3 linked regions of the Macaca mulatta genome follow. The protein of the gene in region 2 purifies or fractionates together with the protein of the main gene of each other region. This does not show direct contact. Links are inferred from orthologs where the notes say so. Each region holds a gene or a part of one and is shown on either strand. Other genes may lie near its edges. The genes, in order: GAR1, WDR77 and CLNS1A.

The links.
Region 1: the proteins of WDR77 (region 2) and GAR1 purify together in Homo sapiens (affinity purification with mass spectrometry; 3 studies listed by BioGRID and IntAct, with this or other methods). This does not show direct contact. The link is inferred for Macaca mulatta from reciprocal best matches to the Homo sapiens genes WDR77 and GAR1.
Region 3: the proteins of WDR77 (region 2) and CLNS1A purify together in Homo sapiens (affinity purification with mass spectrometry; 6 studies listed by BioGRID and IntAct, with this or other methods). This does not show direct contact. The link is inferred for Macaca mulatta from reciprocal best matches to the Homo sapiens genes WDR77 and CLNS1A.

What each region holds. Positions count from the first base shown.
Region 1 is NC_133410.1:119,125,020-119,128,675, reverse strand, and holds the end of GAR1 (H/ACA ribonucleoprotein complex subunit 1), read right to left. Parts: intron 2,758-3,656; coding exon 2,616-2,757; intron 1,207-2,615; coding exon 1,138-1,206; intron 769-1,137; coding exon 755-768; 3' UTR 451-754; downstream 1-450. UniProt on the Homo sapiens protein: Required for ribosome biogenesis and telomere maintenance. Part of the H/ACA small nucleolar ribonucleoprotein (H/ACA snoRNP) complex, which catalyzes pseudouridylation of rRNA.
Region 2 is NC_133406.1:128,801,644-128,804,734, forward strand, and holds part of WDR77 (methylosome protein WDR77), read left to right. Parts: intron 1-2,082; coding exon 2,083-2,153; intron 2,154-2,281; coding exon 2,282-2,336; intron 2,337-2,809; coding exon 2,810-2,881; intron 2,882-3,091. UniProt on the Homo sapiens protein: Non-catalytic component of the methylosome complex, composed of PRMT5, WDR77 and CLNS1A, which modifies specific arginines to dimethylarginines in several spliceosomal Sm proteins and histones.
Region 3 is NC_133419.1:78,053,796-78,057,451, forward strand, and holds part of CLNS1A (methylosome subunit pICln), read right to left. Parts: intron 2,270-3,656; coding exon 2,133-2,269; intron 1-2,132. UniProt on the Homo sapiens protein: Involved in both the assembly of spliceosomal snRNPs and the methylation of Sm proteins.

The sequences.
Region 1 (3,656 bases), on a different chromosome or scaffold from region 2:
CTTAAACTTTTAGAGTCCCTTTAAAAAAGTAAAAATAACATTCAGTAAAACTTTTAATATTCATGTTGGATGAGAAAAAGTAACTGCTTTTTAAAAATTTCTTGCTAGTTTTTCACTTGAACAGAGCTACTCCATCTTTAACACGTTACTAATATGGAAAATTTTAAAATCAATTATTAATTGCAATTAGAGAAACAGCTTAACTGATTTATGTATTAAAATACAAAAGGGAAATACAGAGCTATCTTCTCATACATAAAAGGCCAGGGTTTTGAAAGGGGGTGTTAATTTGTAAATACTCTTAAAGTACTGCTACAGCAGCCTATTTTTTAAAAGATCAGTAATACAAATAAATCCTTTTTTCGATCTGCAATTCACTATGTTTAAGTTTTAGTTATTCCTTTCTACTTCAAAAAATGGGTTTCATTTAATAAACACACTCTAAATAACTTCAGGGAATAAAACACTTTATTTTAAAAATTCAAATATGCTTCAAATGAAAACTCCCGTCCATTTATTAGGCACCCACAAAGTGCCAGGCACTGTACAAAACATTAGAAAGATTTGTTCATGCTCTTCTAGAGCAAGATTCACTATTCCGTTGCTTTGCATGATGCTAACATTTTTGATCCATTGTCATAAAATGACCAAGATCTTCAAGACTTGCTAAAGAACCAAGTTTCCAATCCACAGTAGAAACAGATCATGCAGGTTAATACAGAAGTCAACTGGTGATGTCTGTCAACTGTTTCACTTAATGTCCTCTTCCTGATTAAGAGAAAATTAAAGTATTAAGGGCACAGAAAATGGATTTTTAATAGTATTATAACGTAAATCTCAAGTTTAAAATCAGCATTAGTTCCTATAATGTTTAGCAACCATACTTTACCAAATGTAACTGTCAGATTCATATACACCTTTTTTTTCAAATTAATAATAAAGCAAAACAAATTAGAATTAGGTTAAAAAACTGAAAACGCAAAAACAAGTGATATAAAATGAAACCACAAATTAGGCTAAGCAAAGAACACCATAGTGTTCCATATACTTGCTGGCAGAAAAAATTAAACTTAAGCAAAAACAAAATGCCAGATAATATCAATTCTAAAAATTAAGCAACTTAAAGATAATACCTACCTCTGAAACCACCACCTCTTCCTCCTCTGAAGCCTCCACCTCCACCTCCTCTTCCACCTCTAAAACCACCTAAAAACATTTATTAAATAATAATGCAAAATATTTAAATAGCAGATAAATAATAAACATTAACAGTTATTAACTATATAACCTCTTATACTGATAAGTCTACAAAGATCAATACAATAACTATAATTATAATGAATAAATATAGATTCACATATTTTATCACAGAAAAAATTTTACAAGACAAAAATGAAGAAACTAGTAGTTTACCAACTGGGCAACAGGTTAAATCCCCAGATTATTCAATTTCAATAAATTAGAAAAACTTGTTACTTTAAAGTATGATTCAGTCTTGTTAAATGTATGATTATTGCCTTAGCTCTTGCTTATGATAAATACTTTTTGATTCCACTAAGGATAGTTTGATGGAACTAAGGCTTTGTATCCTAAGAACAACGGATGGCAGATATGGGTGCTTTTGTTCTGGGGGCACAATAATAAATATGATAGTTAAGGTTAACTGAGCTACATAAGATTTAAAAAAAATAAGATAGTTGTGAATTTTTTGAAATGTTAAATGATACTCAACATCAAATGAGAACAGGGGAATCTCTATTCATCAAATTCTCAAGAAGGTACCCCTGAAAATTTTCCTACCTATACGGACACAAAAAAGTACCTTTATAGAGTGAAATGATGATTAAATTGAGAGATGCCAAAGTAAAGCATTCCTTCTCTTTTTTGGCTCCAGTAACAAAAGCTGTCTAAGCCCAACTTTCAGTTCCTCTCCCTTTCCACTTTGGCTCTGCCCATTACCTCATCACTCCCTGTCCTCCTACTCCCAGGGCATGGCAGTCTCACTCCCTAGAGCCCTGCTGATCACCTAGCTGCCCATAATGATGAATGTGCCAAAACCTTGGGGGAAAGGCGTACATCTAAACAGTGAGATCACAGCAATGAATTTATTAGTTCTTGACACGACATCAGAAAATATGCATTTTAATTCTGGGTCTGCCAATTGTTTGACCGGGGGAAATTAATTTCTGTAAGTCTCCATTTCCTCATTCATAAAATAAGGATATCATCTATCTCAAAAGCTTTTGCTGAGTATTAAAAGAATATACACGGAAATTAAAAGAATGTATGACCAGCTTTCAGTATGCAGTCTACACTCAATGATATTAACTAAGAAATTAAAATTAAGATAATCCTATGGTTTATTAAAATGCCCAAGAAAACATGAATAACCCAAAGAAATGAAGTCCCTCAAAAGTATACTTTAGTAGATTTTTTTCTTTTTAAGCAAGTTGTTGAAATGAAGCATTATTATTATGGACAATCTGCCAATATTTGAAAACAGCTTTAATAAAAAGAACCATAAGGGAGGGTTTGCTATGTACAAAGCTAAATTGTATTATATTAATCAGCTATGACTTTGAAATTTCATCAGAAATTTTCCCCAAGTAACTTACCGCCTCTGCCACCACCTCTGCCACCTCCTCCTCTTCCTCCTCCTCGGCCTCCCCTGCCACCACCTCTTGGAGGTCCTTTCTCACCTGGAGGTCGAGGTAAAAACCTCTGGAGTGGCAGCAGCTTATATGGGTCTATATAAAACTGGAGACATAATAAAAGCAATTAGTGTACGACTTGGGGGACAGTAGAGTATAATCATTAAGAAGCTACATGATAGAGTCAAAACTGCCTGGGTTCAAACCCCCCCAACCCTACCACTTTCTACTATGTATCTCTGGGCAGGGACTTAATTTCTCACTACCTTAGGTTTCTTTTTCTTTTTTTTTTTTTTTTTTACTTTAAGTTCTGGGATACATGCGCAGAACGAACGAGCAGGTTTGTTACATGGGTATACATGTGCCATGGTGGTTTGCTGCACCTATCAACCCATCATATAGGTTTTAAGCCCCGCATGCATTCAGTATTTGCCCTAATGCTCTCCCTCCCCTTCCCCCCACCCCCCTGACAGGCCCAGGAGTGTGATGTTCCCCTCCCTGGGTCCATGTGTTCTCACTGTTCAACTCTCACTTATGAGTGAGAACATGTGGTGTTTGGTTTTCTGTTCCTGTGTTAGTTTACCTTAGTTTCCTTATCTGTAAAATGTAGAGAATAGAGTATCTATCTCACATGTTTGTGTGATGATCAAAAAAGTGATGTATATAAGGCACTTGCACTTTGGCACACAATAAGCATTACATGCATATAAAAAAATCAAGACCAATTCAATCTCATTTCTCTTTAGAAATAGATTATTTAACATTTCCACTCAACAGAACTGCCGTAAGAAAAATAAAACTATTTAAAACATAGCATTAAAATTCAAAATAAAGCATTCGCATACAAGCTGTTTCAAGTCTTTAATAAAGATCAAAAGGGTAACTATCTTCTGAACACACAAAGTAATGAAGGATATACAAAAACTATACACATCCTATAACTGGGGTTAAAGAGGACATTTCTCAGATAATGAAATGTAAAGGGCATATTGTATCATAGTTCTT
Region 2 (3,091 bases):
TTCCCTGCCATTTCTAACTTCAAAGTACATGATTAAGTTATAGACCAGAGAAATCACAGACTCATATCCAAGGTCCAGTATCCTGGACCTTCAGGGTCACTTGCAAATAGTTTTACAATAATGTTGAATGCCCAGCTGTGCACAGTGGCTCACACCTGAAATCCCAGCACTTTGGGAGGCTGAGGTAGGCAGATCATATGAAGCCTAGGAGTTAGAGACTAGTCTGGCCAACATGCCGAAACCCCGTCTTTACTAAAAAGTACAAAAATTAGCCAGGCATAGTGGTGCACATCTGTAATCCCAACTACTTGGGAGGCTGAAGCCCGAGAATCGCTTGAACCCAGGAGGCGGAGGTTGCAGTGAATCGAGATCACGTCACTGCACTCCAGCCTGGGCAACAGAGTGAAGCTGTTTCAGGAGAGAAAAAAAAAAGTCAATGCCCTATGTCTATTATATTTGCCTTTTATTGCGTAGACATATGTGCTTTCCTGGTTAATGCTAACTCTTTTTCAGCATTTCTGCCATGCAGCCTTTCTGTTATTCTTTGTGTTTGTGTCTTATTCCCCCTGCTGAATTCCAAATCCTTTATTATTTTTTAATTTTTTGTAGAGACAGAGTCTTGCTATGTTGCCCAGGCTGGTCTCAAATTCCTGGGCTCAAGGGATCTCCCGCTTTGGCCTCCCAGAGTGCTGAGAGATTACAGGCATGAGCCATTGCATCCTGCCCCAAAACCTTTGAGGGTAGAGGAACCATGTATTCTTCATCTTTCCTTACCACCATGATGCTTGTCCCAGAGCTTTGCTTTTTTCAAGTGAGCAATAAATTCCTTTTCTTACTTCTTATTCTGTTGACTTTCTGTGAATTCTAGGGCTAGGAAAGAACTATGGAAGCTGGTTTAGTTCCATCCTTCTGCCTCAGGGAAGGGCCACATTCAGACTACCTGGGAAAGTCTGGTAAAATGACTGTAGAAAAGGTTTCCACAGTTTCCAATTAACATGTAGCAGTGACTTTAAAGTTTTTTACATGTAGACCTCCTAAAACAATTTTGAAAATCTGTGCCCCCTCATACATTTTAAAATTGATACCTAAAGAAATTTTTTAAGTAGTTGCAGAGAAGGTAATTTCTGGCATATAATTTATTATATACTTATTTCAAGCGTATATTTGTCCAAATTTTAGGTTTGCAGGTTAATCCTATTTAGTTTGTACAGATGTCTACCAAATAGCCTAACTGGCAAAAGCCAATCTGCATTGTAAAGCCAGTGGACCAAGTTAGACTAAATTTTCTGTCAGAAAAAGTCTGACTTTGTTTTTAAATTCAGATAAAGTTGTTGAATATGTCCGTATCACAACGATCTGTCATATGTTTTAGTTCTCGTTATTAGACAGAAACAGAGTGAAGTTACAGAACCATACTTGTGTTTGTGGTGTGACTGAAACAAGATCAGCGCCCCCTTCATTGAATTTTACCTAGATGCTCTTTCTTTTTGCTCTTCGGTTCTTAGGGAAAAGCCGCTTTTGTGCCTTAGTTTAGAACCCTTATGTTTTTATACCCCTGAGCATTGTACCATGGAAAGATCTGGGATGAATGACAGGTATGTGTTCTTTCTTTAAAGTGGAAGAAGGGTGATTGTGAAAATAGAGGCAGTTCAATTTTAAGAAAGAGAACATTAGAGAAATTGGCTCTCTTAATACTATTAGCGCCCAGAACTCCCTCGAAAGTTTTTGTATACTACTTGGAGGTATGTGTGCTCCAGTATGAAGACTGCTATTCTAGAATTATTTAGATCTCACGTCTAAGATGCCTTAACTGGAAATTCCTTTGTTATTCTTAGTAAGCTCCTAATTTCTCATTCATTGTTTTCACTAATACATTTTTTTTTACAAGGCTTTTTAGGTTTTATAAGTGTATAAACTTCTCCTCTTAGCTTTTGTCTGATCCATAATCTCCCACAAAATTTGTTAAATTGCATCATGAGACCAGCCCTCCCTCCCTCCTGCACCTTGATTACTCCTGGGCTGGCCCTCTTGTAATGCTTCAGCTTGTTTTCTATCATGTTTCTCTTTCTCTCTCCTTTATAGCTCATGCTGCACAGGTCACTTGTGTTGCTGCCTCTCCTCACAAGGACTCTGTGTTTCTTTCATGCAGCGAGGTAAGAGATAGCTCCTTCTTCCCTAAACACACTCCAGCCCTCCATAGGCCAAAGTCTCTAGTGTGGAGACTTTCTGGCCTGCAGCGCTTTGGACTGTGAGATCCTTTTTCTGTTCCGCCTTCCTCTAGGACAACAGAATTTTACTCTGGGATACCCGCTGTCCCAAGCCAGCATCACAGATTGGTGAGTCTGAGATTCATTGGTGGGAGAGTAGTACTTGGAACCCTGATAGAAGAGAATTTCTTTGGCCAGTGTCAAAGCATAGTTGCCAGATGCCCAGTGTAGTTACTGTGACATGAGTGACATAATCTCCTTCTTTTCCACTGAGACTCTGCTAACCCCATTCTTGCAATGCATACCAAGAGGAAGGGCCAGTTCCTGGGTGGCTGATTTACTTTATTAGACGGGAGGACAAAGGGGCCAGAATTGTTATCTTCATGATTTGTGCCTGAAACTTGCCTGTGACTCATGTCCAGAAAGGGCAGGAAGCTGGTGGATAAATGGTTATGAGGCTCAAGGATGAGGACACTGCTGCCTTAGCAGGGTTTGGGAAATCAAATAAAGGTGCTCCCAGGATTTAGAGTGATGTCATTTGAGAAACCGCTTCTTCTGGACTCTTTTGAGTTTTTGTCCAGACCCTTTTCTCTTCTTTGCAGGCTGCAGTGCGCCTGGCTACCTTCCTACCTCACTGGCTTGGCATCCTCAGCAAAGTGAAGTCTTTGTCTTTGGTAAGGCAGCATGTCAGACTTCATATTGACTCTGGGAAAGGGGAGGAGGAAAGAGAAAGAGCTGACTCCACAATGCACAAGGCCCTTGCTGCTCAGTCTTAGCCCTCATGGACACTAGATGAATTATGAATTGAGGGTGGGGAGGTGGGGTGATGCCAAGGTAGTTTTAGTGTAGCTTTGGAGAACATGATTATTTTCCCAGTGGATTTG
Region 3 (3,656 bases), on a different chromosome or scaffold from region 2:
GTAATCCCAGCTACTCAGGAGGTTGAGGCAGGAGAATCGTTTGAACCCGGGAGGCGGAGGTTGCAGTGAGCTGAGATCGCGTCACTGCACTCCAGCCTGGCAACAGAGCAAGACTCCATCTCAAAAAAATAAAAAAAACTGGAGAATTAGTGAAATAAATGTGACCCAGGAAGATACTAATTTCTAGTAAGATAGGAAATCCTGCATATTTTACTAAGAAAGGATTAATCATAATCACATCAATTACAATCAAATAATCATATAGACTCTGTAAGATTATAGAGCACATATTTAAAACACACACCCTAAAACCTACTGAACTGCTTTTTCCTAGTTTAGGACTTACAGCATTTGCATTTTAAACAAGCTTCCCACGTATTTCTAATATGTATCCGTTAGTCTTGAGTTTGAGAACCAGAGACCAATATACTCCCTTAACCTTTCTGGATGAAATTCAGGCTCAGAGAGATGCAAATGACTTGCCTAGCAAGTTAATGACAGAGTTTTTACTTTTTTTTTTTTTTTCAACAGAGTCTCGCTCTGTTGCCCAGACCGGAGTGCAGTGGTGCAATCTCAGCTCACTGCAACCTCCACGTCCTGGGTTTAAGCGATTCTCATGTCTCAGCCTCCCAAGTAGCTGGGATTACTGGCGCCCGCCACCAGGCCCAGCTAATTTTTGTATTTTTAGTAGAGACAGGATTTCACCATGTTGGCCAAGCAGGTCTCCAACTCCTGACTTCAGGTGATCCGCCTGCCTCGGCCTCCCAAAGTGCTGGGATTACAGGTGTGAGCCACTGTGCCCGGCCTAATGACAGAGTTTTCTTATTCAATGTGCTTTTGCCCTTTATTATTAAACACTATTTCCTAAGCCTTTCTCTTGATATGTACCTTTCCCACCTCCAATGCCCGTCACTATTTAGGGCCATTTCACACCAGCATTTGGAGCTGACTGGCAAGAGTACCTCTAAGGTTTTGCATTTCTGGAAATCAATGAATGCTTTAAACTAAACATGACACATGATATTCTTAGTTATAAAATCATAGTTGCATTTACTTAGATGAAAAGCAAATTTTGTATCTAATGCCTTATTAGGAAGTCTTACTACACTACTACACCCCAGGGTTAACAGCCTTTTACTTTTCCTAATCCTCTTTTTCAGACTTCACTAGATTTTTAAATGTCTTTGAACCTTTTCCAACGGCAAGAATTGGAAATCTTATAACAAAAATATTTTCAGATAGCTGAATCAGTCATTACCACTTAATGAGGCAGGGCTTGCCAAAAGTCCTAAGAATTACTAAATAGTGTCACAACTGAATATAAATGATCATATTATTATATCTGGAACCATATTAAAATCCCAATTTGAAAGAGCAATAGTCTTATAGGTAAATAAATGGGATTGTCTCTTACACACTGCTTCAAAGAAAAGCAACCCATTATTTTAAACATGAACATCTTCACTAGATTTTTACAAGTCTTTGCAATTATCCCAAAGCAAAACTTGAAAATCTTTATATCCTACAGTTTCTCAACCTTGGCACCACTGACATTTGGATGGAATAATTCTTTGTTGTGGGGGACCATCTGCGCATAGCAGAATATTTAGTACAATAATAGCACCCTTGGCATCTAACTGCTAGATGCCAATAATATCCTTCCTCTTTCAACCAAAATGTCACTGCCAAATGTGGGGGAATGGTGAGGCTGGTGGAGGTCTATGAAAAATATATTCCCCCTACACCCACTGATAACCACTATTGTAACAAAACAGAACAGTTCTATCTTAAATTCTCAGAAGCACAGGGTATACTGATCCAAGTCTCTAAGGGTGCCTTTTAAAAAGAGAAAGGCAGAATAAACAGTGAAACTTTAGAGGAAAGTTAGAAATACATATCCATAATAAATGAAGAATTCTAAGTGTAAATATATAGAAATATATACAGACACACACAAACGTCCATTATGAAAACTTCAACTGTCCAAGTTGCTGTGCTGAAATTTTGCTTAATAAACTACTATCCAAAATGAGTCAATGGCCTCAATGTTACATTGATTATTATCAAACACTCTTTTTTAAAATATAATTTGCTATCAAAGGAGGCATTAGATTAAATTACACCATACATACCTTCAAATTTGGCATTCACCATAACATACAAATGCTCTCCTAGACAGTCACTTCGGTCCCTGGATAATGCATGTAAACTAATAGTGGGGTATTCCAGTGAGAATCCTAATCCAGAACCATCTAACCAAGACAGGCGGCTGAAAAACATGTTTTAAGTAGATTAGTTTTAGAAAGTAAATCCTAATGTAATATCACAAAGTACATAAAAGTTCAGCTTGGACACCTTTATGCATATAAATAAATTCAAGCTTACTTTTTTAGAAATGTTCATAAAATAAGAAAATTCAGGCCAGGCGCGGTGGCTCAAGCCTGTAATCCCAGCACTTTGGGAGGCCAAGACGGGCGGATCACGAGGTTAGGAGATCGAGACCATCCTGGCTAACATGGTGAAACCCCGTCTCTACTAAAAAATACAAAAAACTAGCCGGGCGAGGTGGCCGGCGCCTGTAGTCCCAGCTACTCGGGAGGCTGAGGCAGGAGAATGGTGTGAACCCGGGAGGCAGAGCTTGCAGGAAGCTGAGATCCGGCCACTGCACTCCAGCCTGGGTGACAGAGTGAGACTCCGTCTCAAAAAAAAAAAAAAAAAAAAAAAGAAAATTCAGTAGTGGAAATCGAATTTTCTTTAAGATCAATTCTGTTAAAGTCTCTTTCCCTCTAGCTATAAATTCAAACAGACTTGAAATTCCATTTTCCTCAGTCACATGTATGTTTCTATGACTTTCAAGCTTCTTCTTTTTTGATATGTCTTCAAATACCCTCTTTGCTTTTGCAAATCCTCCCCTCTTCCATGAGGCCTCCCTTCAACTACACCAGTCCATAAAGACCTCTTCTTTTTCTGATTTGCAAATTTTAGTACTTAACTCTGTGGTAGTGAGTCTTATATGTGCCCTTATGGAATATGAGCTATTTGACAGCAGGACTCGTCACATTCCTTTATTTAACATTCTTCAAAACCATTAACAAAGAGCTCAGGAGGTAAGTATGCAATAAATCCTTGGTAATCATTCGTTTCTCCATGAATCCTACACTAAAAGACATAAATGGGTGTCATCACACTCACCGCAACTCAGGGAATATTTATTACCTTGAGAGACAGACTCCCTGAAGCCTCTCATTTATTCAACATCTTTAAGAGAAAGCCACAGAAAAGCTAGGCCTAGTTTTCCCTCAAATGTGGTCAAATGCAAATATTTTATTGGTGTACCAAAGGAAGCACATCACCAAAATCAGTATGTTGAGCTTTCAGTAGAGGCTAACTAATTTTCTGATAATATTTCATCCATCTGTACCACTTAGCAGAAAAAAAGTAAAAAATCCTGAAGAAGCTAAAAAAAAAAATGTTAATGCAATACAGTGGTTGCCTAGGGCTAGAAGGAAATAGGAATGTCTGCTAATGGGTACCAGGTTCTTTTTGGGGTGAAGAAAATATTCTAAAATTGTGGTGATAATTGCACGATACTGTAAACAGACTAAAAACTACTGAATTGTATGTTTAAATGGTTAAACGGTATGTTATATGAATTA